3 linked regions of the Alligator mississippiensis genome follow. The protein of the gene in region 1 interacts with the protein of each later gene in a pairwise test. Links are inferred from orthologs where the notes say so. Each region holds a gene or a part of one and is shown in the gene's direction. Other genes may lie near its edges.

What was found.
Region 2: the proteins of MCMBP (region 1) and ASL interact in binary tests that used the Homo sapiens proteins (3 or more experiments, as listed by UniProt). The two-hybrid records come from large-scale screens. The link is inferred for Alligator mississippiensis from reciprocal best matches to the Homo sapiens genes MCMBP and ASL.
Region 3: the proteins of MCMBP (region 1) and PRTFDC1 interact in binary tests that used the Homo sapiens proteins (3 or more experiments, as listed by UniProt). The two-hybrid records come from large-scale screens. The link is inferred for Alligator mississippiensis from reciprocal best matches to the Homo sapiens genes MCMBP and PRTFDC1.

The regions. Positions count from the first base shown.
Region 1 is NC_081829.1:87,093,286-87,103,166, forward strand, and holds the start of MCMBP (mini-chromosome maintenance complex-binding protein), read left to right. Parts: upstream 1-5,916; 5' UTR 5,917-6,003; coding exon 6,004-6,061; intron 6,062-7,535; coding exon 7,536-7,621; intron 7,622-7,710; exon of another isoform or gene 7,711-7,817; intron 7,818-9,881. Other genes in the region: SEC23IP (SEC23-interacting protein), read right to left, coding at 5,629-5,785. UniProt on the Homo sapiens protein: Associated component of the MCM complex that acts as a regulator of DNA replication.
Region 2 is NC_081837.1:10,092,701-10,102,855, forward strand, and holds the start of ASL (argininosuccinate lyase), read left to right. Parts: upstream 1-5,919; 5' UTR 5,920-6,005; coding exon 6,006-6,011; intron 6,012-6,027; exon of another isoform or gene 6,028-6,092; intron 6,093-6,415; coding exon 6,416-6,475; intron 6,476-9,580; coding exon 9,581-9,775; intron 9,776-10,155.
Region 3 is NC_081828.1:187,830,706-187,840,727, reverse strand, and holds the start of PRTFDC1 (phosphoribosyltransferase domain-containing protein 1), read left to right. Parts: upstream 1-6,147; 5' UTR 6,148-6,258; coding exon 6,259-6,312; intron 6,313-10,022. UniProt on the Homo sapiens protein: Has low, barely detectable phosphoribosyltransferase activity (in vitro). Binds GMP, IMP and alpha-D-5-phosphoribosyl 1-pyrophosphate (PRPP). Is not expected to contribute to purine metabolism or GMP salvage.

The DNA.
Region 1 (9,881 bases):
ACATTCACTTTTGATTCCGGAAATGAAGGCACATGCTTACAGTGGCTCAGTCTAGAAGCTGAGGGGCCTAGAGCGAGCCCTCCCTTCCTTTTGCAGTGACCAGAAGGCTGCAGGGAAGCTAAGCTGACAGGAGGAGAGGAGGAGAAGGGTAGCCAGGCCCCAGCAGGCCAAGTATGGCTAGGGAGGGGTTTAAACCCCCACCCTGGCCTGCAGGAACCCCAGCCAGGGTGTATCAGAAGAGAGAAGGGGAAGCAATGGAGCCTATCAATGCACATGCTGTCCCCCTCCCCTGCAATGGGGAGGATTAAGACTGCCCCTTCCCCTCAGGCTACCTTTACCTGGCCATGCCCCTGTTCCTGCTGCTGGAGCAGCCTGGGGGGTTGAAGAGGGTTGGAGATGCCTGACAAGGGCTGATGCTGCCCTTCCAGGCAGACCCAGCTGAAGGTTTCACACCGCCACCCCAGTCTCAGCCAGCCAGAGCAGTGATAGTGCGCCAGCTAGGGAAGAGAGGGGTAGAGCCAACCCTGCTCGGCTAGAACAGACAGCACAGCCTAGCTCAGGGCTGCAAAGCATGTTGGGATGCTGGGGGCATGTAAGTTAACTTAAACCAGGAAGGGGTCTGGGACAGACATTCCGTAAACTGGTTAGACCTAAATCAGCTAAGTCTGATACTACATTCAACCAGGTTCATCTTAAACCAGTTTTAGCCATTTTGAAACTGGTTTATGTGCACTAAACTTCTGTTCTGTTACAGGTTTAAATGAGTCTCTGACAACTTAAACCAGTTTGTGTGTAACTTCTGCCCCTAGCCAAAGTGCACCTGCAGTCAAAATGACCTCCAGAGTTTGGAAAGGAAACATAGTGTTACTCTTCCACTAAAACACAGCCAAAAATACAGCCCAAATATCTACATAGTTGCAATCCACAATAAATGGATTAATCTGCAACCAAAGGAAATCACTGTAAATCTCTCCTCTAATAAAAACATATAACTATGCTTTTCGGTTAAAGGAAAATACTATCTTCATATGTCAATTTTTTTCAGATATGTACAAAGAAGGCCGAATTGCTTTTTTTTATAAATGCCAAGCACAGCAGGGTTTGGGGTTTTAAGGCAGTGTATAATCCTAATGAGTTACTCAATTAAACTATGCGAAGTTATCCACAGATCAAAGCCCTTAGTTGTTAAACTGTAATGGTCCATTTTCCTCTGGCACTTTATTAATACAGTGGAAGTTAAGTGACACACTATGCTTCAATAATTCACATTCCATCCAAAAGGAACCAGGAACTTAGCTATAATTACCAAGATAAGCACTATGTATGCTATAAAGGTATTACTTCAGATCCGGCTAAAAACCCAGGACCTCCTACATGTATCTTTCTATTAGCAGAACCACTCATATTTTGAATTCTTTAATGTCATATATAGATTATTATAATTACTGATATCTGAGACAAGAAAGGATTTCTAACACCACTAAATTTTTATTTGCAAAAAACACTACTTTTATTCTATGTTCCAGAGCTGTTTGAAAGTACATAGCTAACAATGTTTTCTTTGAAAATCACAAGAAAAGTTTCTGATAGAAATTTTGCAAATCTAGTTCTTCCCAATATTAAACCTGCCAAACTAACCTTGAATGTAAATTTGAAGGCCATTTGATATACAGTAAGACAGCAACAGAAAAAAGGGCTGATCACAAAAACAACTGTGTTCACATATAATGGTAATATATAACTGTATTAACGACTTTTCTTCATATGCTGCAGTCCTTTTTTAACAGTAGTTCTGACCACATCTTTAACCAAGGCCATCTGCCCAACAATCATTTCAAAGCAATGTACCATTTTAGTGTGCTCAACTCTGCTCCTATGGATGATATACACCAGGGGTGGGCAAAATGAGGCCCATCAAGCCACTCCATCCGGCCCGTGAGGCCCCTAAAAAATTTAGAAAATAAATATTTATCTGTCCTGGGGTGCCTGTCATGTGGCCCTCGATGGCTTGCCAAAACTAAGTAAGCAGCCCTCTGCCCAAAATAATTGCCCGCCCCGATACAGACTCTTCTGAAGCTGAGCAAAAGACAGCATCCTTCCTTCTCCAAAAGCTGCCAGCTTTTAAAGACAAAAGATTTATGAAGGCACCTTATTTCCAGATAGTATCTGGCAATTCACTTTGGTTTTGATTCCAGAAGACTATGGTTTATAATAACTGAAAGGCTTCTTCCTTTAATGTGAAAATGACCCCTAGCTCTACATGCTGTGCAGATGATCCCTATGATGTCAACAGAGCTTTGCAGGGGTCCAAGGATCCACAAAGGCAGAGCATCAAGCAGGACCAAACCTTAATCTGACAAGTACAGCATTCCATCATACCCCTAAAACCATCCTGCAGGAGTCAGGCAGTGATATGCACCCTGGCTAGCAGGCCTTTTGTTTTCAATACACTGTACCTGGAAATCTATGCCTGACTAATGTCTAAAGCAAAATGCATCTTTGATCAAGAATTTTTATCAGCTCTATGGGATGGACTCCTATTACCAGATATATTTACAGTGTGGCATATCATTTATTCACCTAGCATCCACTTACAACAAATATTTGCATTACTAGGGCTTGAAAATAGCCAGCTCTTTTGGGGAAAAACTTGTGTAACTGCTACAAAGTTAACAAATATTGCCCAGAAGAAAGGAGCTGGCCATGGGGACTGTAGAAACATGGGGCGTCTATACACATGCTCAGGGAGTGGGGAGGGGAGAGAGGGGGGCCCTTTAATTACAGCGGCTCTCAGAGCCACTCTAATTAAAACACTCGGAGCATCTTGCACATCAGCGTCCCCACACTGAAAAATGGTGGTGGGGTACGTTAACTAAAGCTTGTTGAACAAGCTTTAGTTAAAGGGCCCTTGCTGCAATTTTTCAGCACGGGGATGCTAATACACAAGACACTGGAGTCTGCTGGAGCACATTAATTACCACACTCCAGCAGACTCAATTAATTGACTCTGCTCTGATGCACTATAATTACAGCGCATCAGAGCAGCCTTGCTGCATGTGTATAGGTGCCCATGGGTTTTTTTTAAGTATGTGCAGTTCATTCAGACAATCCATTGTCAAGGACATCAGCTGTTCACCAACCCAGTGTACTTATATCTTCTTACTCATCTAATGCTTTTATTTGACAAAAAGGGAAAACTGGAAGCCTCACTTAAAATTATTATAACCAAACCTGTTATACAAAAGTAAATAAATAACTAAAAGGATGCATTCAGTTCCTGATTATCCAATATTATCTTTAGTGTCTTAATAAATGTTTAATGGGCTGAATCATAGCATTGATGGATCCAAATCTTAACTTTTTGGCCCCTGTGTATTTTAATTTCTCTATAGGATTACACTAATATCATTTTGTATTTCCCAAAGAATATTAAAAGAGGCAAAAGATATGTTTTCATTGGCCATACTTTCAGGGATTTTTGCACTGCCTGAAGTTATACTAACTGGGAATTTCAAATTCAAATAGATGTACTTAAGCATGCTTATTTGTGCATGTACCTGTCAGTACACCTTCGCGACTACAGGAAAAAAAAATCATCATCACACTTATGCACTTAAGTTAATAAGGAAATTAAAGTGCACATGCTGAGCATGCTATTTTTCTTGTTTATAGCCTATTCATGAACTGATTAAGTTCTGACTCCAGGGGCAGAGAATGACATGGGACACTCCTCTGAGGACTGCTCATCATACCATGCTGGAAACATTAAAGTGGAACCATTAATTATTCTTCTACACAAAGTACCCAGCTGGGAACAGCTACACGAGAATTAAAACAGGTAGCTGAAAATATTACAAAAAGTGTTGTTTCCTCAAACATCCCAAATGTATAGCTAAAAGACACACAGGAGAAACTGCAGCTCATAGAGAATTTTCTATTAAGGTTTGGTGAACAGAAAATAGGAGATGGAAAAGAAAGTTAGCACAGAGAACGAAGTTAAGGTCAAATTAAAAGTCCGAGTAGGTATGACATTTGGCAATTGACTTGAGGCAGGACAGCATGCAGATGATGGAATAATTGACCTAGGCAAACTTGAAGTGGAAAGCTGAAGAGAAGAACTGTCTTTTCACGACTTTTCTGATTAGGTGGTGCAATGGACCAACAAGTAAGGATCAGCCAAGAAGGCCCATGGCACTGAAGTAACATCCAGGGTCACATAACTACATAAGCTACAATGTTCACCACTTGAGCACTTAGGGTAAGCACATAATTCACTTTATTGCACAGCACCACACAGGTCCCAATGTTTTGCCTCTTGCTTACACTGTAACAAACTTCAGTTGTCTGCCTATCAGTTGCATGCTACTTGTGTAGTGACTTTTTGGTCCCGCTGTAGGTAACTGCATAATTTGGGAAAGGGAGTGGGACCCAGCAGTATCCAAGCTTTTAAAGCAGCCTTGAACAACCCGACTGTGTCAATGTCAAGAGCCAGCAGCCATGTATCAGACAGGGAAGGAGGCTCTGCTCAGGGGGAACCCCAGAGACTGCGGCGCTGTTTTCCTGTCCCTCATCCATCCACAACTCCAGGCAGTTTCACTGAGCAGCGTCCGCAGGATCCTTGGACTTGTTTGCGGGGCAGTGGGCCCTGGCTGGCGTGCTCTTCTTGCTGTCCCCCTCCTTGCAACAATCATTATTAACCACAGACGCAAACTCAAGTTCCTGTTTTTTCTTCTGTTGTCCCCAGAACCTCTTCTTATATAGCTAGTTGCCTCCCTAACTGAGGGCGGTTTATAGGCATAAGCCCACTGCTGCTTTAATAACAAACAGGCCTGTCAACTTCAAGCCTGCTATCAGAGGCATAAGCCAATCAGAGAAACAAGGTGCCTGGCTTCAATGAGCTGCGAAAGGCTCCTCCTGCAGCTAAGGAGCACTGCTCACGCTGGGTCTGGGGAAACACGTAATGCTGGGCGAGCCTTGTCCCAGGCCCTAGGCCGTGCACCCCAATGGTGCACGCTGCGCAGTGCCCATGGCACTAAACCCCTGCTGCTCCCCACCCTGGGCAATGGGACCTCTGCAAAGGAAACAACGACGGGCACCAGGGCAGACGCACCGCGCCGTCGCCGCACCTAACCTACGCCAGGCCCCGGCCACTTCCCCAGAAGGCGCCGTGTGCGGGACATGGGACTGAGCATCCAAAACCCCACAGGGGGCCAGGTGCTCACTCACCTGCTCGCTTTCCTCCACCAGCCAGCTTTACCAGGACCCAAACTTCCTTCCAAGGCTGTCCCCACCACCGACCGCCCCATCGCGCCCATCAGCCTCTCCCCCACCCACACCACCGAGCCCCCTCCCCGCATTACCCACCGGGAAGCTCCCTTCCCCCATTACCCCTCCCCCATTGATCCCCCAACCCTCACTGCCCCTCCCCCATCGAGCCCCCTAACCCCACTGCCCCTCCCCCATTGATTCCCCACCCCCACTGCCCCTCCCCCATCGAGCCCCCTAACCCCACTGCCCCTCCCCCATTGCCCCTCCCCCATCGAGCCCCCTAACCCCACTGCCCTTCCCCCATCAAGCTACCTAACTCTCCTGCCCCTGCCCCTTCCCCACGACCCCTCCCGCACGTACCCGCGCCGAGCAGGGCGGGCCCCGGGGCGGGGGCGGGGGCGGTGTCGGCGGGGGCCTGGCTGACCGGGAGGAAGGGCACGGCGAAGCTGAACTCGGTGGCGGAGGAGGAGAAGAGCAGGTTGGTGCCGCCGGGCCCGGGGGGTTTGGCGGCCGCCATGTCTGCGTCCGCGTCCACGTCCACGTCCCCGGGCGTCACCGCCCCCACGGCCCCTTCCGCCCGCAGCGCTGCCCGGCTCCAAGATGGCGGCGCCGGCCTCAGCGCCTCACGCCCGGGGCGGGGCCCTTCCCCGCCGCCATTGCTGCAGCGGGAGGCAGGAAGTTGGCGGCGGCGCGGGGCTCCGTGTGCTGCCGCCCGCTCTCCCGCCCGCCCGCAACATGCCGTGCGTGGCCGACTGGCTCAACAGCCCGCTGCGCCTCGTGCAGGGCCTCTTCGGTGAGCGGGGCGGCCTCGTGCCGGCTGCCATGGGGCCAGCGCGGGGGTGCCTCAGTTTCCCCGGCCTGGCCTGGCCTGGCTGCGGGGCGGGGCGGCGTGAGGGATGTCTCCCGGTGTCGGCCTCACGCCGCAGGCTGCCCGGGCGGCGCGTGCTCGGCGCGGGTGAGGGGGGCGGTGTGGGCCGGGCCGAAGGGTTGATGCGCTTCACACGGGGCAGGGACTTGACCGGTCTCAAATAACCCTGAGACCCCCTTTCCACTTCCAAGCAGGGAAGCAACACTGATGTGGAGGGTTTCTGTCCCCCCCCCCCCGAGCCCCAAAACACCTGTGGACTGTGATCTCTGCAAGCAGGATACCTTTGGGCAGGATGGGCGTCCTGGCTGCGCTCCATCCCAAGCGGTGCGGGTTGGGATGCTGGCGGGCTGACCGACACGAGGCACAGAGTGCTTTATGTCCACACCTAACACTGAACCGCTTCAGGGACGACTGGCTCAAAATCATACGTGTTTTTTCTAGGGTGCTTGTAAAACGTTCCGGTCTAAAGTTGCACGTGCATCTAGGATCTTGGGGTTCAAAGTGTAACATTTATTGCATCTGCCCACCTTGGGGCATCAAGTGTGTGTCTGCGCACACCCTGCGAGGTGTACCGAGGAGAGGGGTGAGAACAGCTAGCTAGCCACGGCTTCTGCACCTCCGAAGTAGATGGCACGGAGACGCGAAGGCAAGCGAGGCTGTCTGAGAGAGATGTAGGGACTTCTTAAGGCGCGTATGCGTGGTTTGATCCCCGTCCGCATCGGGCTCCAAACCAACGTGAGGAGCTGGGCTTTGTGTAAGCTCAGCGAGCAAGTAGGGAGAGGTGTCAGAAATATCTTCCTGTCTGGAATCAGAAATGCTCTTCTATTACGTTGTTCTAGCCAAGCAAACGATGTTAGAAACGATTTTGAAAATGAAACCTTCAACTCTGCTCATGCATTTGGGACCTTTAAAATGCAGCAAAACCCTTGCCGAGTTCATTCACTGCCAGTTCTGCGTTTTGATCTCGTTACGGTTCCAACAGACAAAGCTTTGCCAATCCTGCACTTGGTATTAATCCATGTATGGCTTATTTTCTGGAAAAGCACTTGTGCTGAAACAAGCTTTCCAAAAACGTGACCGTGTGTGCACAGAAAGTAAGAAAGGTGGCTGATTCGCCCCTTCCTTGCCTGCTGGTCTGTGGCGTATTTGTAGTCCCGAGTTCTTGAGCCTCGTCTCACTTAAGCAGTGATGTGCTTGCTGTTATCGTTAAGAGACGGAGGAAGACATGGTGTTAAAATAGTCATAATGTGCACGTGTGCAGGAACAAGTCTCCCATAAAAATGTCGTTACCTTGCCAAACTGTGTTTACTTCACTCCGGTTCAGAGTGGTACATAAAACTCCGAAGTACTGTCCAGTTGCTTTTCTAAATACAGTTCTTTTTTTTGGTTTTTTTTCTAGCCCAAAGTGGTCCAAATCCTGAATGGGAGAAAAAAGTAACTGAATACTTCAGAGAGAAACTAAAAGAAAATAATGCTACTAACTGGGTGAGATTGTTTAGGAGTCTTTCCTTAAATTTCCTTCCTTTTGCATCAGTGATGATGATTTATTGTTTGCCAGGTTTTTCACTTTTAGAACTTGCTGATACCAGGCTGAAGAAGACACTGGAGACACTGGAAATCCCTACTTTGGCTTACCTGCAAAGTCACTGAAATGTGAAAAATCTGTCCAAAAATCAAAAGTGTAAGATCCTGATCCAAAGTCTTTTGAAACTCATGCAGTTGACTTCAGTGTACTTTGTACTATGACCCACTAGGTGGCAGTAGCTGACAAATGCAATCATCTGCAATGTATTCATTAAGGTATAAAAATCTGCCCTGGCTAGTCTAAAATTAGAGATAAATAAGTGTATACCAGAAGTTTCTGGCTAAGCACTTTCAAACTGATCAGGTTATATGATCTGTTACAGCTTTTGATGCTTTAAATGATTGGAGAAATAGTTGTTAAATTTCATATTTTAGTTTGGTTGAGGGAGATCATTTATTTTAATCTTCTACAAACTGTACCATATTATGTCAGTCTAAGCCCCTATTCTGTATTCAAAGATTAGGCAGCTAGCATGTATCTGATCTTCATATACAAGAAAAAGTTAGCTTGATTCCAAAATTGTTGGTCTACTCTGAAGGATAACTATAAAAATGGTATTATGGAATTCTGGATTTCTTGGCCCTCAAGTTAAATATGTTCAGTTTATCAGTAAAAAGAAAACCACCACAACAAACACAAGTATTTTTCCAATTTCAAAACACATTGAGAACCAAGAATCTTGTGTTTCAAGGAAAAAAACATTTTGTAACTAAAACTTTATCACCAATTGCATTTTTAACTGACTGAACTGCTAGGCATTACTAGTACCTGGGATGGAATAAAATATTTCTTTTCCTCTCTTATACAGCTGTGTGGGACCCCTGAGTTAAACTTTAAGTTGGATACAGTTACTTTAAAAAAAAAAAAAAGCAAATGCTATGGTGTGGATGTTCAGTCCGTGGTTACCATTTTTATATGATTGTAATTCCAGTAACTATATTTCACATTGAATGTATTTTTCCCTAATATGACAATGCAGTTAATACTGATTCAGAAAATCAAATAGACCTTGAATGAAAGGTGCACAGTACTGTTATTTCAGTAATTTGGAGATTTGGTTGCCTGGACAAGCCGTGCGCTTATCTTTTCCCATGGTCATCTCCTGTACAGATAAGCTTCTGTTACCTCAAAGCATGCCCTACATGTTTCTTTTGAAAGCGTGAATGCTTTGAGTACCAGAAAAGATGTTTGCTTGTTTTGCTGTGAGATGGCAGTGTTTCTTTCATGTTGCTTATTACAGTATTCCTAGTTGTGTTTTTCCTTGTCAAAAAAGTAAGGGTTTGGAAAAATGTCTTCTGTGCATCTGACAGTGTGTGAAACTTTAAATTTGTGCTGACCAGAAGGAATCCAGACAAATTCGATGAGATGAAGAATGTGACACTTAGCAATTAATTTTTTTGGGGTCAGTCTTAAAATGCACAAGAAAGAGGAGATTTTATATTGAATGGGTAATAGCAGATAGAGGGTGCAAGAATGAACTGGCGTGATCCTGATTCAGTAGGCTATCATTTGAAAATAAAATTTAGTCAAAGAGATGTTAACTTGATTTTGTTTTAAAACCAGTTAATTTAAATAAATTGATAAAGCATATTTCATTAACATTCATTGAAAGGATTTGTAAAGGCTTGTTTAATTCCCCCATTAAAATGGGCGGGGAGGAGGACAGTGACCAATAACAGCACTGCCGAAAATTGGTCCAGTCCCTGTCTGAACTTGCCTTCCACGCTCTTCAGTTACACTTCTAGTTTTACTGCACTTCTGGATGATCCCCTTTTTCAAAGGGTAGGAAACAGCAACATAAAAGTGCACCTGACATTCCAGTTAGTGAACTTGTATAAGCAAACTGCTTCAAATAAACCAAAACAAAATAGGGAAATTATTTTGTCTGTCTCTTTATATTAATCTTATCTGTCACTTATAGCAGTGTCTACAAAAGTTTCAGAAAGCAATATAACTCCTTAAACAGTCTTGGGTAAGACAATAGATGAGGCAAAATGACCAAAAAATCTTAAAGTTAATAGCTGACTTATCGATCATCCTTGTCCATTCCTTACTGCTCTTGCATTTATTGAGTGCTTGAGACAAGTAAGTGAATAGCAAGAAGTGCCATAATTAATTGACATATGTGGAAGTATTTTTGCAGTATCTATCTTTACCCAT
Region 2 (10,155 bases), on another chromosome or scaffold:
GTTGATTTGTATCATTACAAAAAAAATTGGCAAAGCAGAAACAGACTTCAGTTTTTATGTCAGTCTGCACCGTCGTATGAACGTCTGAACAACCAAAAAGTATGCATGCAATATATCAGCATGCAGTTTATTTTTATAGCAATTCTAATTTGGGGATTTTACATCAGTTATCTACATAGCGCACTTAGGAGTAACCTGTACATGGAAAAGGAAAAAAAAAAATGACTTAATTTGAAACCTCTTCCGTAAATATATTTTAGATTCCTTTGGGAAAAAAAAGTATTTTTTTAACCTAAATTACTAAGATCATCCTCATGTACTACAGATTCGTCTCATCTTAGTCCATAAGAGCCACTCTTTTAAGATATACTTTAGAATACAATTGCCATGGTACGCTCCTATAGGAAATTAAACAAAAATGATCCATTTCTAAACCAAACAGCTCATCCTCCTCCCCCTCTATCCAGGCCTTAAAAACCTCCAAGAATGCAGCCTCCCCCACGTCCGGGTGACCTGCTGCGGCGCTTCACCGCCCTCCTAGTGAGAAAATTTTCCCCAATGTCCAAAACTCAGTAAGTGGCCGTCGCCCCTGGTCCCCCCCCGTGTCACCGCCGTCAAGCGAGGCTCGGAGACGCCCGGGGTTTCTTCAGAGGCCTTCATGTTGCCATCTGCGCGGCCCACGCTTGCAAATCTACTGCGCGGCCAGGAGCATGCGCACGGCCAGGCCTTTTCTCCCCGGGGTTAAGAAAATAGCGTTTTTGGGAGGGGGAACGGCCCGGGGGTGAATCACTCCCCACCCGGGGACATTTTTGCTCTGGGAGAAAACAAACCACGACTCTCCCAGTCCTCTCCCCGCACCCGCGGCCTCTTCCCCCCGCGCGGCCCTTACACGTCCATGGCGCCCGTGCTGCGTCCCGGGGGCAAGGAGAAGGACGAGGGGGCGGGGCGGGGCGGGGCGGGGCGAAGCGCAGCGCAGCGCAGCGCAGCGCGGGGGCCGCCGGGAAAAAGAACGTCGGAAGCGGCAAAAAAAGGTTACACTTGCATTGGCCGGGAATCGAACCCGGGCCTCCCGCGTGGCAGGCGAGAATTCTACCACTGAACCACCAATGCGGACGCACGCGGTGCGGCTGCCCCGCTCGCTCCTCCCGCGCCGCAACGCCCTGCACGGGCTGCCCTGCACTAATTGTGGGTCCCTTCGGGTCTGCCCTGCAGCACCCTGCTTGTGGGTCCATGCAGGTGTGCCCTGCACCAATTGTGGGTCCATGCAGGTGTGCCCTGCCCTGCTTTGGGGTCCATGAAAGTCTGCCCTGCACCAATTGTGGGTCCATGCAGGTGTGCCCTGCCCTGCCCTGCTTTGGGGTCCATGCAAGTCTGCCCTGCACCAATTGTGGGTCCATGCAGGTGTGCCCTGTCCTGGTTGTGGGTCTGCCCTGCACCGAACACTTTGGTTGTGGGTCTCTGCAGCTTTGCCCTACACTAGGTGCATCTACACATCGCCATACGGGAACGGTGTGACTGCGCTGTGCTTTTGGAAGTACTAAAACATGGTGTGGTAACCGCCTGGACGGTGCCAAATGGGCACCACGTGTTTAAATTTTCTCGCTGTGTCTCCAGAGCAGGGCACCGTAAGCGGGGAGCGCGCCACTACTGCGACGTAGCTAGCGATACGTCGCCGTAGCGTGCCATGCGTCACTATGTCGCCATAGGGTGATGTGCAGGCGCGCCCGCTGCTTTGGTTGCTTCTTGCCCTTTCTCCTGACGGTGAAGGGAGAGGTTTCACCTGCCCACAAAAAGAAAGGCCCACTGCTGGCACAAGGCTTGGCACAGGCAGAAACACCCCAGAATTCACCAGTTTGAGTTGTGTGTGTCCCAGCCAGCTTCGGCTGTGATAATAAAAGGGGAAGAGTGAATCAAATCATTTTTGTCCGTCCAGAAAATGAACTCCGGGCCTTGCACGCACAGCATGTCGCCATCACCTGTGTGAACAACATGATACCTTATAGGAAATCCTCTCCTGGGTGCCATCAGGCATTTCTTCCTAAAGTGCTTTTATGGGTCTCATCAGCTGACACACCAATATTCCACCTTCTTCACCGCCCTCCCACTGGTTATAACCTCAATATATTGTATTACAGTTTGCATCAACCCCGTTTCAACCCAGAGAAAGCGAGCTCCGCTCTTCTCCGGACACAGCTGAGAATTGCTTTGGATACAGCACGCAAAACAACGGCCTTGCCCGTGACCATAGGACAGGCCTGCGCAATACAAGAAACTCCTTGTGTCCTCTGAGTTTAGGGCCATGCTATTACTTGGGATCCAGCAAATAGCCATCGAGCCCTAATGACCCAGGGAGGTGACCCAAAATGGTATCTTCTCTAGAAGAGTCAGCCTCTTTCATCAATGAAAGGACTGAAATATGAACCACCACGGTCATACCCCTGGAACCACCACAGTCGTTGCACAGTGACAGCAATGAACAAACACCCAGATCAACAGACAGACTCCAGAGAGAGCTAGAGTCGCCTTTGTTTGTTCATGTGATTTACTGACCCTGGCACAATATGGCCAAAACCAGCAGAGCAAAGTCCTGCGACAGCTCTGCCGGGTGCTATACGATACCACGTGCACCTGCTTTTTTATGCTTAGCATCTCATTTCTGTCTTCCAACACCAGGTAATTATCTGCATCTTATTTGATATCTTTCCTAGGGCTTCGTTCCTGAGCCCTGCTATGCACTTCAGCCACTGGGCTCTGGAGTTCATGCACAACCAAAATTATCACTGTGCTCCACACAAACTACTTTCCAAAGAGAAGATGCAAAAGTAGTGATTAGCCCAGGTATCTCGGTTTTTAATTTCTGTACTTCTGATTGGACTCAGCGGCTTGGGATGTGTACATTCGAGTATCCATAGGGAATGCAGACATGGAATTTTCTAAATGTGCAACGTATAAACATTTCAAGCATAGGATTGTGATTGTTACCACTAAGGCTCAATGAGAGAGGAGCCTTGGTATTAACTACTGAAAGCAGGGGACATAGTAACTGCTATGGAAAGCAGATCTGCAATGTATCTATTCTTTGTCATGAAAGATGTTTTCTGTATTCAGCATTTTGCATCTTTTTTACATTCAAAATTCATTAAACAATTCTTTTTATAAAACATGTCAGCACTGCTCCACACCAACCCAGCTAACAGTGCATTTCACTGACCAGCAGACCGAGTCTATAGGATGACTTTAGGGCAAAGGTTATGTGAGTCAATTCATTTCTAGCGTTAGGCCTAATACAAAGAGTATATTCCTGCAAATCACTATATAAAGCACTGAAAGGACTGAACATGATTATTAAAAACTCCTGTAATAAAGGAAAAATTAAAAGAAATCGGTAATGCTGTAACTAGTCCCCAAGAAGCAAGTGCGGTTAAGGCACGAATCTCTAATTTTTTGGAACAACGAAATGTAGTAAAATAAAGTTCAATGTTTCTTTGCAGTTGAATGTGCCATATTCCCCTCCAGAGCACCCCAGTATGTGTGGTACATCAGCTTGGAAAAGAAAAAGATCAGAAATGGGACTGTGCTCCATTCCCTGTCCCCAGGAGAAATGATCTGAAGTACATAGTGCCATTTCATCAGGGGCTTCATAGAAGCAAGTAAAAAAGCAAAATGATAAAGCAGAAAGTGGGAGGAAATTAAAAACGGGAAAAAAGAGAAAGAAGCATTTATTTGAGGCCCATTTTACAATCCTTAATTGGCACAAAGGTACTATTACTCTCTAGCTCAAAATCACCCTGTTAAAATATCCTGCTGCCTTGTTTACTGCTATCCCCATACCTGGAACGTCTGTTCTGATTTCCAGTTTAATTTCTGTTATTCACACTTTCCATGCTGTTCATCACTAGCAAAAGGACTGTAACTGTGACGTTCCATTCAGAACAGTAGAAAAGAATTAACCATCTCCTGTAGGCAGGTAAGTAAATACATTCAGCAAATTCCCCCAAATAATCATTGCTGTGAGCATCTAGACGCCAGTGGTGGAAAGGAGATGAAGTGGTGGGACTGAGACAAGAAGGGTTGAGTGGATGGAGAGGACAAGCCACAGGTAAGGAGAAAAAGACTTCAAATGGGAACAAGGGACATGGCAAGAGAAAGACAATACAAGAAATGCAGGGGGTAAAGAAATGATTGCAGGGGGGGAGATACAGGGAGTGGAGAAATGATTGCACATGTTCTGCTGGGGATTTTGATGACAAATTCACCTGAAATTTAATTTGTACCATTCCTAGAGCTCCTCAAAGGCCTGGATACTGAAGACTGGAATAAGTAGTGCACTGTAATATAGTTAACAAACAGTGTGAATAATAATAATAATAAAAGTAATAGCAACAAAAGTAAAAAAAATACATCATTAGGAGTGTGGAAGAAGGAAAAAGCATTTCCTTGCTGGGGAGTGACTGAGTATTTAGAGCCAAGGAACAAATGCTGGGTTGGGGTCTGTTTTCTGGGATCTCCCCTACCTGTATCGTTGTTCAGTCCTTGGAGTTGGATCAGTTGACGAAGGGATTTTATTAAAATAGTGGCTCCCTGCAATAACAGGGACTAGACTCAACAACCCAGAAGGTCCCATCTAGTCCATTATGAATTAGCTAGCAGTGAATCAACAACCAGTGTATCAACCTGCACAATGAGGAACTTGAAAAGGCTATTCTGTTCTGCCACAATCAGTCTACAAAAGTTGAAAGCTAACAAGAGTCACTCGTTGATAACGACTCCCTCAACTGGCGAAAATGTAAAAGCCCACAGCTACTGTGGCAATATCCCCCCAAAATAGGTTTTACACATGCAGAGGTGGAAACAGGAAAGACTCATGGGGAATCCTGCAGGCCAGATGACACAGTGCCAGGGGCTGCATGTGGTCTGCAAACTGGGGGTTGAGCACCCCGCTCTAATCCAATGTTTCTCAACCCGTGGGTTGCGGCCCAAAAGTGGGTCGCAAGAATATATGAAAGGATTGCAAGTGGATTATCCTTTAAAGGAGAAAAACATGGGAAACCATGGCTTTTCCCTTGCGCCAGTTCCAGCCTGCAAGGGGCTGCCTGAGGTCCCTCCAAGCCCCACACACACCCACCCCTTGCCCCACACATTGGGGGGCTAGGGCCTGGGGGTGAGGGGCACTGGGTCAGGACTGGCTATCGATGTGACAAATGGGCTCTGGTACAAAAAAGGTTGAGAGCCGCTGTTCTAATCCATGGGTGACTGGTGCCTCCCGAGTCTGGGAGGGCACCAGATCCCCCAGCGGGCGATCACCGAACCAGCAGCAAAACCGGCGAAACTGGAAGTGCACTTCTGCCGGCACTTCGGGTTTCGCGGCTGGCGCCAAGGGGGTGCATGGCTGATCTCTGCACCCGTGTGCACCCGCTACGCGTCACCAATGTTCTTGTAATCCATCCCAACCTCCTAGCAGTGGTACGTGATGGGGAAAAGTCGAGGATCAACTCCTATTGACTCCCAGCATAGTTTTCTGCATGGCTTACAGAGGTGTGTTTCAAGTTGAGACAATATTTTGAACTCCAGAGGTTTTAAACAGCTACTAAATAATAAGTTGAGCTTTTGAATTCAGATGCACATAGGCAAACTCTCGTTTCCCAGAACAATACACTCCAGGCATGGAGGTTTTCTCCAACAGAAAACATTAGGGAGTCTCTCCCCTCCATCCCATTCTCTCCTTCTGCCCCCATAATGTATGCTCTTTGCAAGCTAAATAGGCTCAGGGGGCTTATATGCTCTGAGCTCAGACCATCTGAATAAATCATTATAATTTGCTAGCATTGCAATATTGGAGCACAGCAGGACCGGACAGGGTGGGACTAGATGTGGGAGGGAACTCCAGGGAAATTCCAGATCTGTTCAGCCCCCCCCTGTGGAGGCGGGGCTATGACATCAGCTGGCTGTGCCTAAAAGCAGCCCTCTGAGCCAGACCCAGCAGAGATCAGCCAGTGCTTCCCTGCATGCAGGTGAGTTAAGCTGAACCCAGCTGGGACGCGAACCAGAGGGGGCTGGAGTGCACTTTCCGACCCTCTGCGCTCACATTTCAGGTTGCAGGAGACCTCGCTGCGTTGCCAATATACAGTGCAACGCAACTGCTTTGCCTCTTGTGCAATAAATCCTGTCCTGCTGGAGCTGATGATGGATGATTAATCATGTTTTCTTTACCCCCGGGCAGGATTTTTGCAAACAGCGGGTTGTACAAAGCGGTGGGGTGGCGGTACTTTCTTGCGGGGCGGTCTGGAGCGGTTTGGCCAAAGCTGTGGGGTGGCGGTACTTTCCTGCGGGGCGGTCTGGAGCGGTTTGTCCAAAAGGTGCACGCTGAACTGCCTGTCTGAGAGGGGAAAACATCTGTGCTGTGTTCTTCTTGCAGACTGCACAAGTTGCTGAAGTCTCCAGAGGAAACAGGCAGCCTTCAGACATGACGGCTGAGGTGAGTGTGAGCTTTGATTTCTTAGTAGTAGTTGTCACCCACTCTCCTGTGCTTAGGATGGGAGCTGCTCCAGCTGCAAACTAAACTCTTGAGAAGCTTGATTAAAAATATCAGAGAGCAACATTTTATCAGAGCTCTTTTTCACATGAGATCACTTATTTTAGGTGAAGATCACTTTGCAGTTAAGTACTATTTAGACAGCTACTTGTACAACCACTCACCAGCAGTATCTGTCTGTACCAAGGCTGCATTTTCAGTATCTGCCCCAAACTAGCAGCCTCTGAACCAAACTGGTCTGCCTCCTCTCCCATCTAATGCTACTGCATTTTGACAAGCATCCTCCACCTCTTCTACCCTCATCGCTGCCCTGATTAGTTTGACAGGTAGCAATTTCAACTGAGAGACAAGTCCCCACAAAACTTATGGTGAAATACTGTGACTGCCAAAAGTTAAATGAGAGAGTCTGGGAAAAAAAAGTCTAGTTATGAACATACTATCAGTTGCAAGGTGAGCTTGGTTACCTCAATTTTCCATGTCTGAATTCAGGGTGAGAAAATCCCAAATAAATGTAACTGCGAATCTGTCCATTTTCCACCTCTTTACCTAGGTTTGGTCACTCATTTTTAGCATTGTTCCTGTGGGTCACTCATTTTTAGCATTGTTCCTGTGAACCAGCAGAGGAAACTAATAGAAGGGCAATGTCTAATCAGTATTGTAGCTGAGGCCCTGCAAAATTTGACTGTGGACAAAGTTAGAATTAAAAATGGGCATATGCTTAAAACAGCCCTGAAATCAAATCTTTAAACACAAAGGGCCTAATTTTATGGTTCTAAAAAGGCAAATTTCACAAGGATGTACTTTTCTTTACAGGGACACAATGATAGGGCCCATAAAAGATATTGGTTCAGCAGGAATTGGTTTAATAGGTGGAGACAGTCTCTGGGGGGAAAGTTTCCCAGAGTTACTCACCAGTAACCCCTTTAGCTGATAAAATAATGGTACTGATTATCTTGAGACAGGGTCCTATCCAGTCAGCTGCCATGGAGGGTGGTTTGGATGTGAAAAGGGAGAGGCAGAAATGTGTAAGATATAAGGCAGATGGGCCAAAGTATCCACATTGCAATTCAGGCTCTGCGGCAGGAAGTTTCCGTAAATGCTCCCCAAATGCTTCTCTTTGCCTGCTAGTATCTGCTCTGGAAATTTGCTTTTAAAATCCATTTGGATCAATCCTGGAGTCCATACATAAGCAGAGCTCCCATTTGAGTCCAGTGGAAATTTGGCCTGAGTAAGGGCTTCAGCATCGGGCGCTGGTCAGACCGCAGTTGGAGTACTGCGTGCAATTCTGGGCACCGCACTTCAAGAGGGATGTGGATAACCTGGAGAGGGTCCAGAGAAGGGCCACCCGTATGGTTAAGGGCTTGCAGACCAAGCCCTACGAGGAGAGACTAGCTAAACTGGACCTTTTCAGCCTCCGCAAGAGAAGGTTGAGAGGCGACCTTGTGGCTGCCTTTAAGTTCATCACGGGGGCACAGAAGGGAATTGGTGAGTATTTATTCACCAAGGCGCCCCGGGGGTTACAAGAAACAATGGCCACAAGCTAGCAGAGAGCAGATTGAGATTGGACATTAGGAAGAACTTCTTCACGGTTTGAGTGGCCAAGGTCTGGAACGGGCTCCCAAGGGAGGTGGTGCTCTCCCCTACCCTGGGGGTCTTCAAGAGGAGGTTAGACGAGTATCTAGCTGGGGTCATCTAGACCCAGCACTCTTTCCTGCCTATGCAGGGGGTCGGACTCGAAGATCTATTGAGGTCCCTTCTGACCCTAACATCTATGAATCTATGTGTCCCACTTGGGTAAGCAAGTGACTTGTGACCAAACAACACATCTTCTTGGCTGCTGAAGCAGATGCTTGTACAAATCCAGGGTGAGATGGGCCTTGCATTTTGACTAGCTTGAAGGGTGACTTAGATTCAGAGAATCATAGAAAATTAGCATTAGAAGGGACCTCAGGAGGTCACATCTAGTCCAACCCCCTGCTCAAAACAAGATCATCCCCACCTCGATCATCCCAGCCAGGGCTTTGTTCAGCCGGGTCTTAGGAACCTCCAAGGATGGAGCTTCCACCACCTCTCTGGGTAACCCGGTCCAGGGTTTTACTACCGTCCTAGTGAGAAAGTTCTTCCTAATATCTAACCTAAACTTCCCTTCCTTCCGAGGCACCCTTCTAAAACAAACACCACAAGGCCACACACAAATAATGAATATACTAGATGAATGGATGTGTAAAAAAACCCTTCAAAATTGCAGAGCCTGAGACATTTTATAGCTGTTTTGTCTTCCCAAGGTATGGCTGATAAAAAACCAAGGAGGAAACTCTCATTTGTGTTTGTGTAACAGTGTCCTTTTAAACTACTTACTGAAAACATTATGCTATTAGACCTATCGTGTCAGAGCTGCTGGCTTGGAAGCTGGAGATGCTAAGACTCCACTGAGTCAAGGTCAGGACTGATGTTCACATTATTATTTTTTGTATTGTGGCATCACCCTGGAGCCCTCATTTTCCCAGAAGGAAAAGGCTGGTCCTTAACTCAAAGAGCTTACAGAGGACCGGACCCACTGGCTGATAGGGGATGATGTAGGGGGGAAGCCCAAGGAAATGAGACAGGGAATGGCCTCAGTACATGGGCAGCCCAACGGTTATGCTTCTTTGCAGGCTATTGCAGATTACCAGCTGCGTAAGGGAGTGTAGCTCGTTCAATGTGGGAAGAGAAAGAGGGTCAATGCTGCCAACAGGAGCTTGTAAATTTGTAAATGTAAAGCACTCATCTTATTCTGATCCCTCTAGAGGTCAGTTCCAGCACTATTTACACCACTTCCAAATCCAGCCTGTTGACTTAGTCCAGATCCTTTGGCAGGGGTGCAGCATTTGCTTACACCAGGTCTGAATTTGATCCCATATGCTCTGTTATATGCTAACGCTGCAGAGTGGCAGGGGACTGTCCCACCGTCCTGTTTTTAAAATCAGCGCTAATCTGAAGGATTGTGTTTCTTTGGGTGTCCAAAATGATTGATCTGTCTGCTTTCTTTTCCCACTTCCTTTTGCACAGGGGGATAAACTTTGGGGGGGAAGATTTGTAGGAGGCCTGGATCCCATCATGGAGAGGCTCAACTCTTCCATTGATTATGACCAGAGATTGTCAGAAGTTGACATCCAAGGGAGCATGGCTTATGCCAAGGCCTTGGAAAAGACTGGAATTCTAACCAAACCTGAGGTGGAGAAGATCCTGAATGGACTGGAAAAGGTATTTATCAGCTGAAGTAGATGGTATGATGCAAGGGTGCCAAGCATAAGGACAAGTACAGATACAGGAAACTTTAGCCACTGCTATTGAGATAACAGTGCTGTTATCCCCAACTTGTTTCTGGAGTGCTCTGTAAATGAGTAGTGCCAAATGCACTCTCAGAGTCTCACATATGTGTGGCATGGCAGGAGTCGTAGTGATGTCTTTCAGCTGCAGTGATCTGGTTTTCTCCTACTATTGTGTAACTCCAACAAAATCTCACCAGTGTGAGATCAGACTTGGAGGGAGAAGGGGACAGTTCTAGCTCCAGGGTGACCAAAGTGTTTTACAAACTTATAGGAATTGAGCCTCCCAAGAGCCACCTAAAGTGGGGAAATAAT
Region 3 (10,022 bases), on another chromosome or scaffold:
CAACAAACCCGTGCTGGCTATCCCTTAAGATGTTGGCGTCGGCCAGTCCGTTAAGGATGGCCTCTTTAATAAACTTTTCTAAGATCTTCCCCGGGATAGAAGTCAGGCTGATGGGCCTATAGTTAGCCGGATCCACTTTCCTCCCTTTCTTGAAGATAGGCACCACGTTGGCCTTCTTCCAGTCTTCGGGCACTACACCCGAGCGCCAAGAGTTTTCAAAGATCCACGCTAGTGGCTGGGCTATGATGCTCGCCAGATCCTTGAGTATCCTGGGGTGAAGATTGTCAGGGCCGGCTGACTTGAAGGTATCCAGCTTCTCAAGATGTTCCTTCACAAAGTCAGCATTAATGGAGGGCAGGGGATCACCCTCACCCGGACTTCCCGGCCCTGTAGCAGGCATGGGCGTCCCATGGGGCTGGTGAAAGACCGACGCAAAGTACCTATTTAATAGGTTGGCTTTTTCCTGGGCGTCAGTTGCCCCATCTGGTTCAGCAGGGGTCCAACGTTGCCCCTGCTTTTCCTCCGGCTCCCCACATATCTGAAAAAGGACTTTTTATTGTCCTTGATGCTCAAAGCTAGCTGGAGTTCAGTTGCAGCCTTGGCTTTCCTGGTCTGCTCCCTACAGGACCGGACCAGTGCAGAATAATCCTCCTTGGAGGTGACTCCCATCCTCCATCCTTTGTAGGCCTTTCTTTTTAGCCTCAGGAGGTCTGCTAGGTCCCTGGAGAGCCAGGGGGGCTGCTGTGCCCTCTTGCTGCCTTTCCTCCAAGATGGAATAGACTTAGTTTGTGCATTGAGGATCGCTCCCTTGAGGAGCAACCACTCTTCTTGAACTCCCCTCTCCCTGCGGTCACAGTCCCTTAGGGCCTCACTGACAAGCCTCCTGAGCTTGTCAAAGTCGGCTTTCCTGAAGTCAAGGACTTGCGTGTTGCTGACCGACTTGCCAGCTTTTCGGCGGATGGTGAAGGTGATCAGCTCGTGGTCGCTGTCACCCAGCTTCCCATCGATCACTAGGTCGCCGACTAGGTCCTCCCCAGTAGCCAGCACCAGGTCGAGCAGCGCTTTGCCTCTCGTTGGGCCATAGACTTCTTGAGTCAGGTAGAGGTCATCCACGCACGAGAGGAAGCTCTGCGACCGCTCAGATTTTGCTGAGCGATCCTCCCACGAGGTATCTGGGTAATTGAAGTCACCCATGACAACCATGGTCCTGGAGCAAGCTGCCTCAGCCAGTTCCTGGGCAAACTCCTGGTCTAGCTCAGGACTTTGGGTGGGAGGTCTGTAATAGACTCCCACCATTGTGTCCCCTGTGCCGTGTTCCCCACGGATTTTAACCCAGAGGGTCTCCAGCCGTCCACCCTGGTCGCCAATATCGGCTTGCAGGGACGCGTAGCTTTCCTTAACATAGAGAGCTACACCCCCACCCCTTTTCTCTACACGATCCCTCCTGTACAGGGTATAGCCATCTATCCCCATGGTCCAGTCATGGGTGGAGTCCCACCAGGTCTCCGTGATCCCTATGACATCGTAATTGTTTGCACTGAGCAGGAGAATGAGTTCCTCCTGCTTATTCCCCAAGCTCCTGGCATTTGTGTACAGGCAGGCAAGCGCCCCCTGGGGGGCTCCTTCCTTGCCCACAGATTTTACCAGGGCTGGGGCTGGGGCGGGCTCCCTTGAGTGGCATGATCCGCTGGCTTTGCAAGATTTGCTCAGCGGGCCAGCAGTGGCGGTCGTGCCCCCGTCCCCCAGCGGGCTTAGTTTAAAGCCCGGTGGAGCAGGTCAGCCAGTCTGGCTGAGAAGAGCCTCCTCCCTAGGGGAGAGAGGTGGAGACCATCTCTTCCCAGCAGCTCGCTGCCTCTCTCGCCAAAGAGCGGGCTGTGGTCATGAAAGCCAAAGCCTTCCTGACGACACCAGCGCCGCAGTCTTTGGTTGACCACATAGATCCTCCTGTCCCTTCTCAGCCCATAGCCTGAGACTCGGAGGATCGACGAGAACACCACCTGTGCCCCCAGACCTTTAAGCCCCGCTCCCAAATCCCTGTAGCGCCTCATGACCTGGCTGGGAGTGCTCCGAGCCGTGTCATTGGTGCCCACATGAATAAGGAGCATGGCATAGCGGTCTGTGGGTTTGAGGAGCTTGGGGATCCTCTCCGCAATGTCCCGGATGCGGACCCCTGGGAAGCAGCAGACTTGCCGGGCTAAGGGGTCAGGGTGGCAGATTGGCCTCTCCGTCCCCCTCAGGAGGGAGTCTCCCACAACAAACACCTTACGTTTTGTCTTGGGGAGAGCAGGGGTGGGAGTTGCAGTTGGGCCCATGTTGCCTGTGGGGGCCGGCAACTCAGCAGGCTCTGCTGGGGCAGCAAGAGGTGCATACCTGTTGCTCAGTTGTGGCGGGGGTGGGGCCTTGGTGCGGCGGGCCTTAGGGCCCTTGACCACCTTGGTCCATGCCCCTGGCTGGACACAGCAGGAGGTCCCAGAGGTTTGATTGATATGGAGTGACAGGCTCTTTACCTCAGATGTCTGGTTAGTAAAGTGGAGTGACTGAGGCCTTGAAATCCCCACATCTTGGCACTGTTTTGTGTTTGAGCGTGGTCATGGCAGAGGTGTGTGTGTGTGTGTGCGTGCGTGCGTGCGCACATGTGCGTTGAGATGTTTGGATTGTGTGTTTGTTTGTTAGTGTATGAGATTGGTGTTTGGCTCTGCTGGTGTCTGACTCAGACTGTGGCAAGTAGGAAGCTTACCGCTCCCCGTGGAGAGTAAGAGGTAACCTATGCAAAGAAGAGACTTGATCAACTTTCCCTTATTCAAATCTCTCATTGTTCAATGTAGCAGAGCCAGGGGTAGCCATGACACCCCCTGCCCTGCGATGGCTATGCAACTTTTGCCCCACTCCAGCTCTTTGGGCTATCCTCCCTTTTCTACTTCACCTACTATGCCTTGATGGATCTCCTAATATTTATGGAGGATGCCCAAGGGTCCTAGAGTGAGCTCCAGTCTCTCAACTGTCTATTTCTCCACATGCCCAGCTTGCACCCAATTTACCCCTTTAGCAATAAATCATGGCCCTCCTGGCCTTATGTGCCTTAGGGGTGTGCGGGCGGGGTCAGGCCCCGGGTCCTTTTCATCACTCTGCATGCGGGCTGTGGCCGGTAGCCTGGGCAGGCCGGGTCGGAGAGGGAGGTCGCCGAGCTAGAATTAGGCACAGACACTTAACGGTTGATTTTAAGATTGTTTACTTACACCGAGATGGTCACGGTGCAGGCTGAGAACTTGCTTGAGTTGCGGTTACAACAGAAAACACGAACACACGTGGAGTTTGCAAGGCTCCACGCAGACAGAACTCAAACAATCACGTGGAGCTTGCTAGGCTCCACGCAGACAAAACTCCGGATGTCCAGGACAAACGCACATAAAACTCGTCGGTACGTCTTATAGCAGGCTCCGTTCGAAGACGGGAAGAGGTGGGCGGTGGATCAGGCCACCAAACTCCTCTGAGCAACACACAGGGTTTCTATTACCCTGCCGCACACACCCAGAGTCCCCACGAGATGGATGCGGAGTCCTCTTCGGCTTGGGTGGAAATTGCTCAAGCCTCTTATACGGCTAGCAGGCCAATCACTAGCCGCCACATGTGAATAATTTAGCACTAGCCAATTGCGGGGCACAAATTTGCATACAACGAGCGGGAACTCCTTTGCACCGTGCATTTCTGTGTTGCAAAGGAAATGCACCCTGCAAAGACCGCTGCAAAGTGGCGGGAACTCTCCTTTGCACGCGGGTTCTCTGCGCAGCAGAACTCCTCCGTGCAATGAAGCTGTAAACCCACGGGGATAATTCGAGTGCCGAAGCGCACACAAAAAAAATCAGACCTTTGGGTCATGACAAGGGGCAATAATTGTGGCCCAATAACTGCAGCCCCCACAGTTCCTGCTCTTTACCTCCAGATGTTCTGAGAGCAGCAGATCCAACCAAACAATGTTCTCTCTCCAGCTCCTTACAGCAACTGCTAGCTCTACTGCTCAGGGCCTGCTTTTATTCCCTAGCAGCTAGGCCCTCCTTCCAAACAGGCGGCCTCCCGCTGGCCATGTGACTCTCCTAACTGGGAGTGCAGTCACCCACAGGCTGCTCTGCTACCTACACAGGCCCTTAAAGTGGCAGGCACCAAATGTGCCCTGCCAGGTACATTTTGAAAACTTTTACCATTATTGGCTATACATTGTACAAGGGTTGACATTTTCACACAAATATGATAATTATCGTACACCTGGCAACACTGCTTCTTTGCTTCAGTCACTAGACTTAAACTCCTCTAAGTATCGCCCCTTCTAGCCAGGCGGCTCCTCATCCAGCCACATGACATCTACAAATTGCTGTAATAGTTGAGCGTGTGTAAGGCTGTTTCTACCTTCTCTATCAAAAGCAAAGATATTGTGTACTTAAGACTGGTTGATGGGACAGAACCAATCTCCACTTGACCACCTGACCTCTCTTGTACTTTTTTTTTGTTTTCGTCCTTTCCTGGACTATAAGCCTTTGTAGGCAAAACAACATCGTCCATGTATGAAAAGTATATCATAGCACCGGCACCAGCAGACACAAATTATAGTATAGTCAGTCACAAAAGTTAGGAGTGAGAGAAGTTTTAGTCAAAGGTTTGATTTATTTCCAGACGTAGTGCTGAATTAGGTGCTGGGAATCAAGACACAGAAATGGATATAATTTTCATTTGGTCTAATATAGGGGGAATCTTGTTACACCAGGCAGGATGTGATGGCAGCCTGATCAAAAGAGAGTCCAGTTTATTTCATAGCACTGAAATTTCTTTATATGCAAAAGTGTTCAAAACATAGTTTAAGACCAAGTCAAGCCAATTTCTTTCCCTGCATTTCTTCCCAGCCAGATCTTGCTTCTACCAATTTCAACTTTTCTCCCTTCAGGAACTGTTTTTCCCTCTCCTAATATATCTCATCAAAGCATGTTTTGTTAATGTCTAAGATTTTGGTGTTACCTTTTTTTTTTGCTTGGTATAGCAATACAATACTATACAGACAAGGGCTGAAAAACGTGTTTGCTGTAGCGAATTTTTTGTAGTAACAAATGTTTTGAGATTCACTTAGCTTTGCCCCACCCCGCACTGCACCCTCTCCCTGAATAGGTCCTTGATTTCTCCCCCCACGTCCTCCCTTTTGCTTTGGCCCTTGTGGCCTTTACGTTGCCAGACACCTGTGCAAATCCTTGCTGTGCTGCCATCGTTGCCCCCCTGCCGGTCTGCTTGTTCCTCCTGCATCTCTGCAGTCCTGCTTTGCACTGATCCTGTCCCCCATCCGGCTTGTTATCTGCTCTGCACATGGGCCCCTGGGAGGAGCTTGGGAATATTTTCATTGCGTCAGCATTTGTGAGGCAACAGACTCCAGCGTAACGAGATTCCAAGCGTAAGTGGAAATTTTTGAAGCCCAAACGTAACAAGAGCTGAATATCTAACAGGTTGGAGCAGCTTAGCTGAATCATTTCCAAAGAATTACATTCACGAGGCCTGTTACTGGCAGGTGGCAACGTATCTAGAGACAGGAACAGACACAGCTGATGTACTGACTCCCACAGCAGTGCTTGTGGCAAACGTGTGGCCCAAAAACTGGATTCTTAAATTATCTCAAGACCCATCAATGACCTGCGGGGATCATCTTCCCATGGAGGGCTTGCCCACAACCAGGCATGTGAGCAAAGGAGCTTCCTGTCTTCTCAGCAGCCCCCAGAAATTGACTGTGCGGGGAGCGCTGACTCCCACGCATCCTGCGGCGCTGATCGCCCAGGAAGGCGTTTCTGCGCCCTCGCACATGCTCTTGCCCTGTTCGCCGCCTCTCCCGCCTGGGCCGGGCCCCGGGCACAGCAGGCGTCCGCACGTGCGCAGGGCTTTTTTCTTCCCAAGCAAAAATGGCTGCTGCTCGGGGAGACCGGTGTGCACTCAGTGTCAGGAGGGGCGAGCGCGCGGCGGCGGCGACACACCCCCACAGCGGGCACCTCCGGGCCTAGGCCGGGTTCGGTGCCGCCGCTCCCCACCCCCCACATCCCCGTGCGGCGCGAAGAGCGCTGCGGGGCGGGGCGGGGCCTCGGGGCGGGGCGACACGGCCCCGCCCCGGCCGGATCTGGGGGCGGGGCCGGCCCGAAGCTGCTGGGCTCCACGTTGTAGGCCGGCGCCTGCTCCCAGCCCCATCCCCGTCCCCACGCTTGGGCCGGGCCGGGCCGGGCGGGCGGGCGCGAGAAGATGGCCGGGCCGGGCGGGCTGGCGGCGCGGAGAGGCAGCGCCCGCGGGGTTGTGGTAAATGGAAGCTCCCCCCTCCCCCGCCTCTTCCCGCGGCCCCAGCTTCATGCCGCCGGGCCTGGGCTGCGGGCTGCCCTCACATCCTGCCTCAGCCCTGCCCTGCCCTGCCCTGTCCTGCCTTCATCCAGGCGCTCCCCTCCCCTCCTCCCAGCCCCTGCCCCCGGGGTGCCGCCCTCGTCCTCTGCATCCCCCCCCTTCCTCCCCATTGCCAGCGCTCCCCCATCTCCCCCCCCAACCCCCCGGGACCTGGGGCTCCCCCCCCTTCCCCCCGCACCTCTCCCTGGATAGGTCCTTGATTTCTCCCGCCACGTCCTCCCTCTTGCTTTGGCCTTTGTGCTGCCAGACGTCTGTGCAAAGCCTTGGCCCCCCTGCTTGTTCCTCCTGCATCTCTGCAGTGATCCTGCTTTGCGCTGATCCAGCCCCACATCCGGCTTGTTATCTGCTCTGCTGTATCTTACCCTTCCCGCTCTGTGACCAGCCCTCTGCCAGCTTGTTCTTCCTTCATCAGCCCTGCCCTGCTGTATCCTACCCTTCCCGCTCTGTGATCAGCCCTCTGCCAGCTTGTTCTTCCTTCATCAGCCCTGCCCCATTGCTCTCAAACCTGAGCTCGGTCTCCCTGTCTTTAAACCGAACTCTTTTCTGCTCTGCCCTGCGCTGCGTTTTTCTCCGCCCCATGTTGCATGTGTGTGCCTGGCTGGCTGCTGGAGAAAGAGAAAAACCTCTGGTTTCTAGATTAGTCTGGTGATTACAGCACTGCAGTTTGTGAGTGGTAGAAGCAAACTCAGCAGCGACTAGCAAAGGTGTCACACATTACAAAACTAGTAGTTTCTAAGGAAAAACAAGGCCTCTGTTGAATCGTCTTGAGCATTACCTCTAGGGTCTGTGACAAGGAATGTAGATCCAAATACACAAAATATTCAGGTATTAGCATCCACTGAAGCACCTAAATAAAGGCTAGTCATCCACTTATCTATGGGTTTGGGGCCCAATAATAAAAGCCTACTTTTGAGTTCTTTTCATTTTACCCTTTCTGTGTACTGAAATTGTCTAAAACTACATGTTTTGTAAAGTTCCAGGGATTTATGGGCTTATAACAGCAGACGAAGAAGCTAGGTTTCCAAAGACGTTCTAAGAAACAGCCATTTTTTATCTACACTGTAAAAACACTAGGGAATAGGTTATCATCGTATTCCAGTTGCATTATGGTAGTGTTACCAGCAGTGTCTTAATTAGCTTCCAAAACAATTCTCAGGCCCAGGCATGGGCAAATGGTGCTTCCTGAGTCTGGGGGGGGCACCAGATTGCAGATGGTGGGGGACCCCTAGCAGCCAATCGCCAAGCCAGTGGCAAAACCGGAAGTGCACTGGTTTTGCAGCTGGCACTTCCAAGGGGTGCATGGCCAATCTCAGGGGGTCCACGTGTTGGCATGCAAGAGGCCGGACAGCGGGGGGGAGGGGCCCAATACTTGTGGCAGCGCAGCCCCAGACTCTTCCTTGCTGTCCGACCCATGTTGCGCACACACCTGCCACCAGCAACAACCTGGGCCTGGGCTCTGCAGACCTCAGTAGCTTGCAGACTCCCTGCCACCTGCTGTGAGCAGCCCAAACTCCGTGGCGGGTGGCAGGGGCCTGTCTAGAGTCGGCTGGCTGTGGCAGGCAGCTGGGAGGCTGGAATCTACTGCACCAATGTCTGTGGAGCCCTGGCCTGGCTAATTGCTGGCGGCAGGTGCACACGCACCCAGGGGTAGACAGTGAGGAAGGGGTGGTTCTGCACTGCCACAACAAGGATCAGGTCCCTTGCTTGCACCTGCCACCAGCAACGAGCCAGGGCAGGGCTCTTCAGATCTCAGTGCACTGGCTTGCATCTTCCGACTGGCTCAGGCTCTGGGCAGGACTCTGCCACTTGCCACGGAGTCCAGGCTGCCCATAGCAGGTGGTGAGAAAGCTATAATCCTCTGTGCTGAGGTCTGCAGAGCGCCGGCCCAGCTCGTTGCTGGCAGCAGGTTCACACATGCCTTGGGGCTCAGGGGAGATGCGAGGTACCCGATCCTTGCAGCAGTGCAGCCCCAGCCCATTTCCCACCTGCCAGGCTCTGGCATGCATGCCAGGAGTTGCTAACCCTTGCTCTGGACTATAGCCCAAAAGTCACCATGTTGTAATTGCAAACAATTGCAGCTATAATGCATGGAGGAGCTGTTAATGTACTTTCATTTACAGACTGGGTAGCCGGATGGTAATTGCTGTGATAAGTGCCATTTACAAAGATAACGACGTTGTTACGGTTCTCATATTCTTCTGGAAGATTGCTTGATGCCCCAGCCTACCAGTTTACATGAAAGTGGAACCAGACCTGTGTTGTATACTGCAATGAAATTTAACTGCTGTAAATAAATACTGCCTGTGTGTGTCAGATACAAGGAGAGAGTCCCTATTTTTTGACAGATTACCACTTTCCACTCCCTTCTAAGAGTTCTTTCGGTCCAGTGTGTTTTCATGGCATAATAAGGTATTCCTGTAGTTTTGTTCCAGATGTCCTAAGTGATTACATTCAGACATATCATGCTTTCAGACTGATTGTCATGTAATATATTTCCTCAACAATTTTTATTCCTCAACAATTACTGGCACGCTGTTCCGCATTTGAATACAATACGTGTCATGCTTGAACTTAATTGTTTTACTTACTCTACTATTAATATGTTTTTGAAAAGCATGGCAAACCTTTCTTCAGACTTACATAACTGACAACAACTAAATGAGCTATAGTTTCTTCCTTTAGGTTCTTTCTTTATATATTCTTAATTCACCATTTGTCTAAGAACAAGCATAGAAATCTTTCAGCCCTTCTTTATTGAAAATTACTATGGCCTGAAAAGTAGGGATTCCAGTGGAGATTCTTCAAAATCATGTTATAGTATTTCTTCTTTAATGCTGTAGCTGTGTTTGCATCTAATGAGAAGTAGGGTCACAGATTCACAGAAGTTTAGGGCTGGAAGGGACCTTGTGAGATCAGTTCCAAAGAATTCATTCACAAGGCCTGTTATTGGTAGGTGGCTATGTATCTAAAGAGAAAGGAACAGCTATAGAAGGTTTATTGATTTCCCATTAAAATGGTAATCAGTAGGGATCTTTATAGGATGATACAGTTTGTGTTGTTTCACTGGTAAGAGTGGATTTGGGGAAAGAAACAGAATGGTTGATAGAAGAATTAGAATGCAATACTGACTGTAAAAAGATCTATCGTAACTTCAGTAAAGATTGTTATTTTTAAATCATTTTTGGATCAGTTTTGATTTTTTTTTTTAGTCTGCTCCTAGGCTCCATAACTAGACAAAGCGTCTTGAAGTCGATAAAAAATGTTAAAGTATAAGTCCCCTGTAAATAGATTAATTTAAATTAGAGTTGAAGAAGACTTACAGATAAGTTTTCTGGACCTTTTGCAGTTGTAAAGTTTTTTTGTTTGTTTTTTACTATAACACAACTGTCAGGATGGATGTAACTGCTAGAGCTGTGCAAAGTTTCAGTCCCTGATTTGATTTGGTGGAGATTCAACCCAATTTGGTGGACAAATCTCTGAATCTGAATCAAATCAGAACCCTCCAAATTGATTCAGAAAGATTTGGCAATTTGGACATAGACACAGCTTTAAATGATTTTTCTACATACCTCTAGGTAGCAGGTGGCTCGTGAATGTTGCGATGCTGGGGC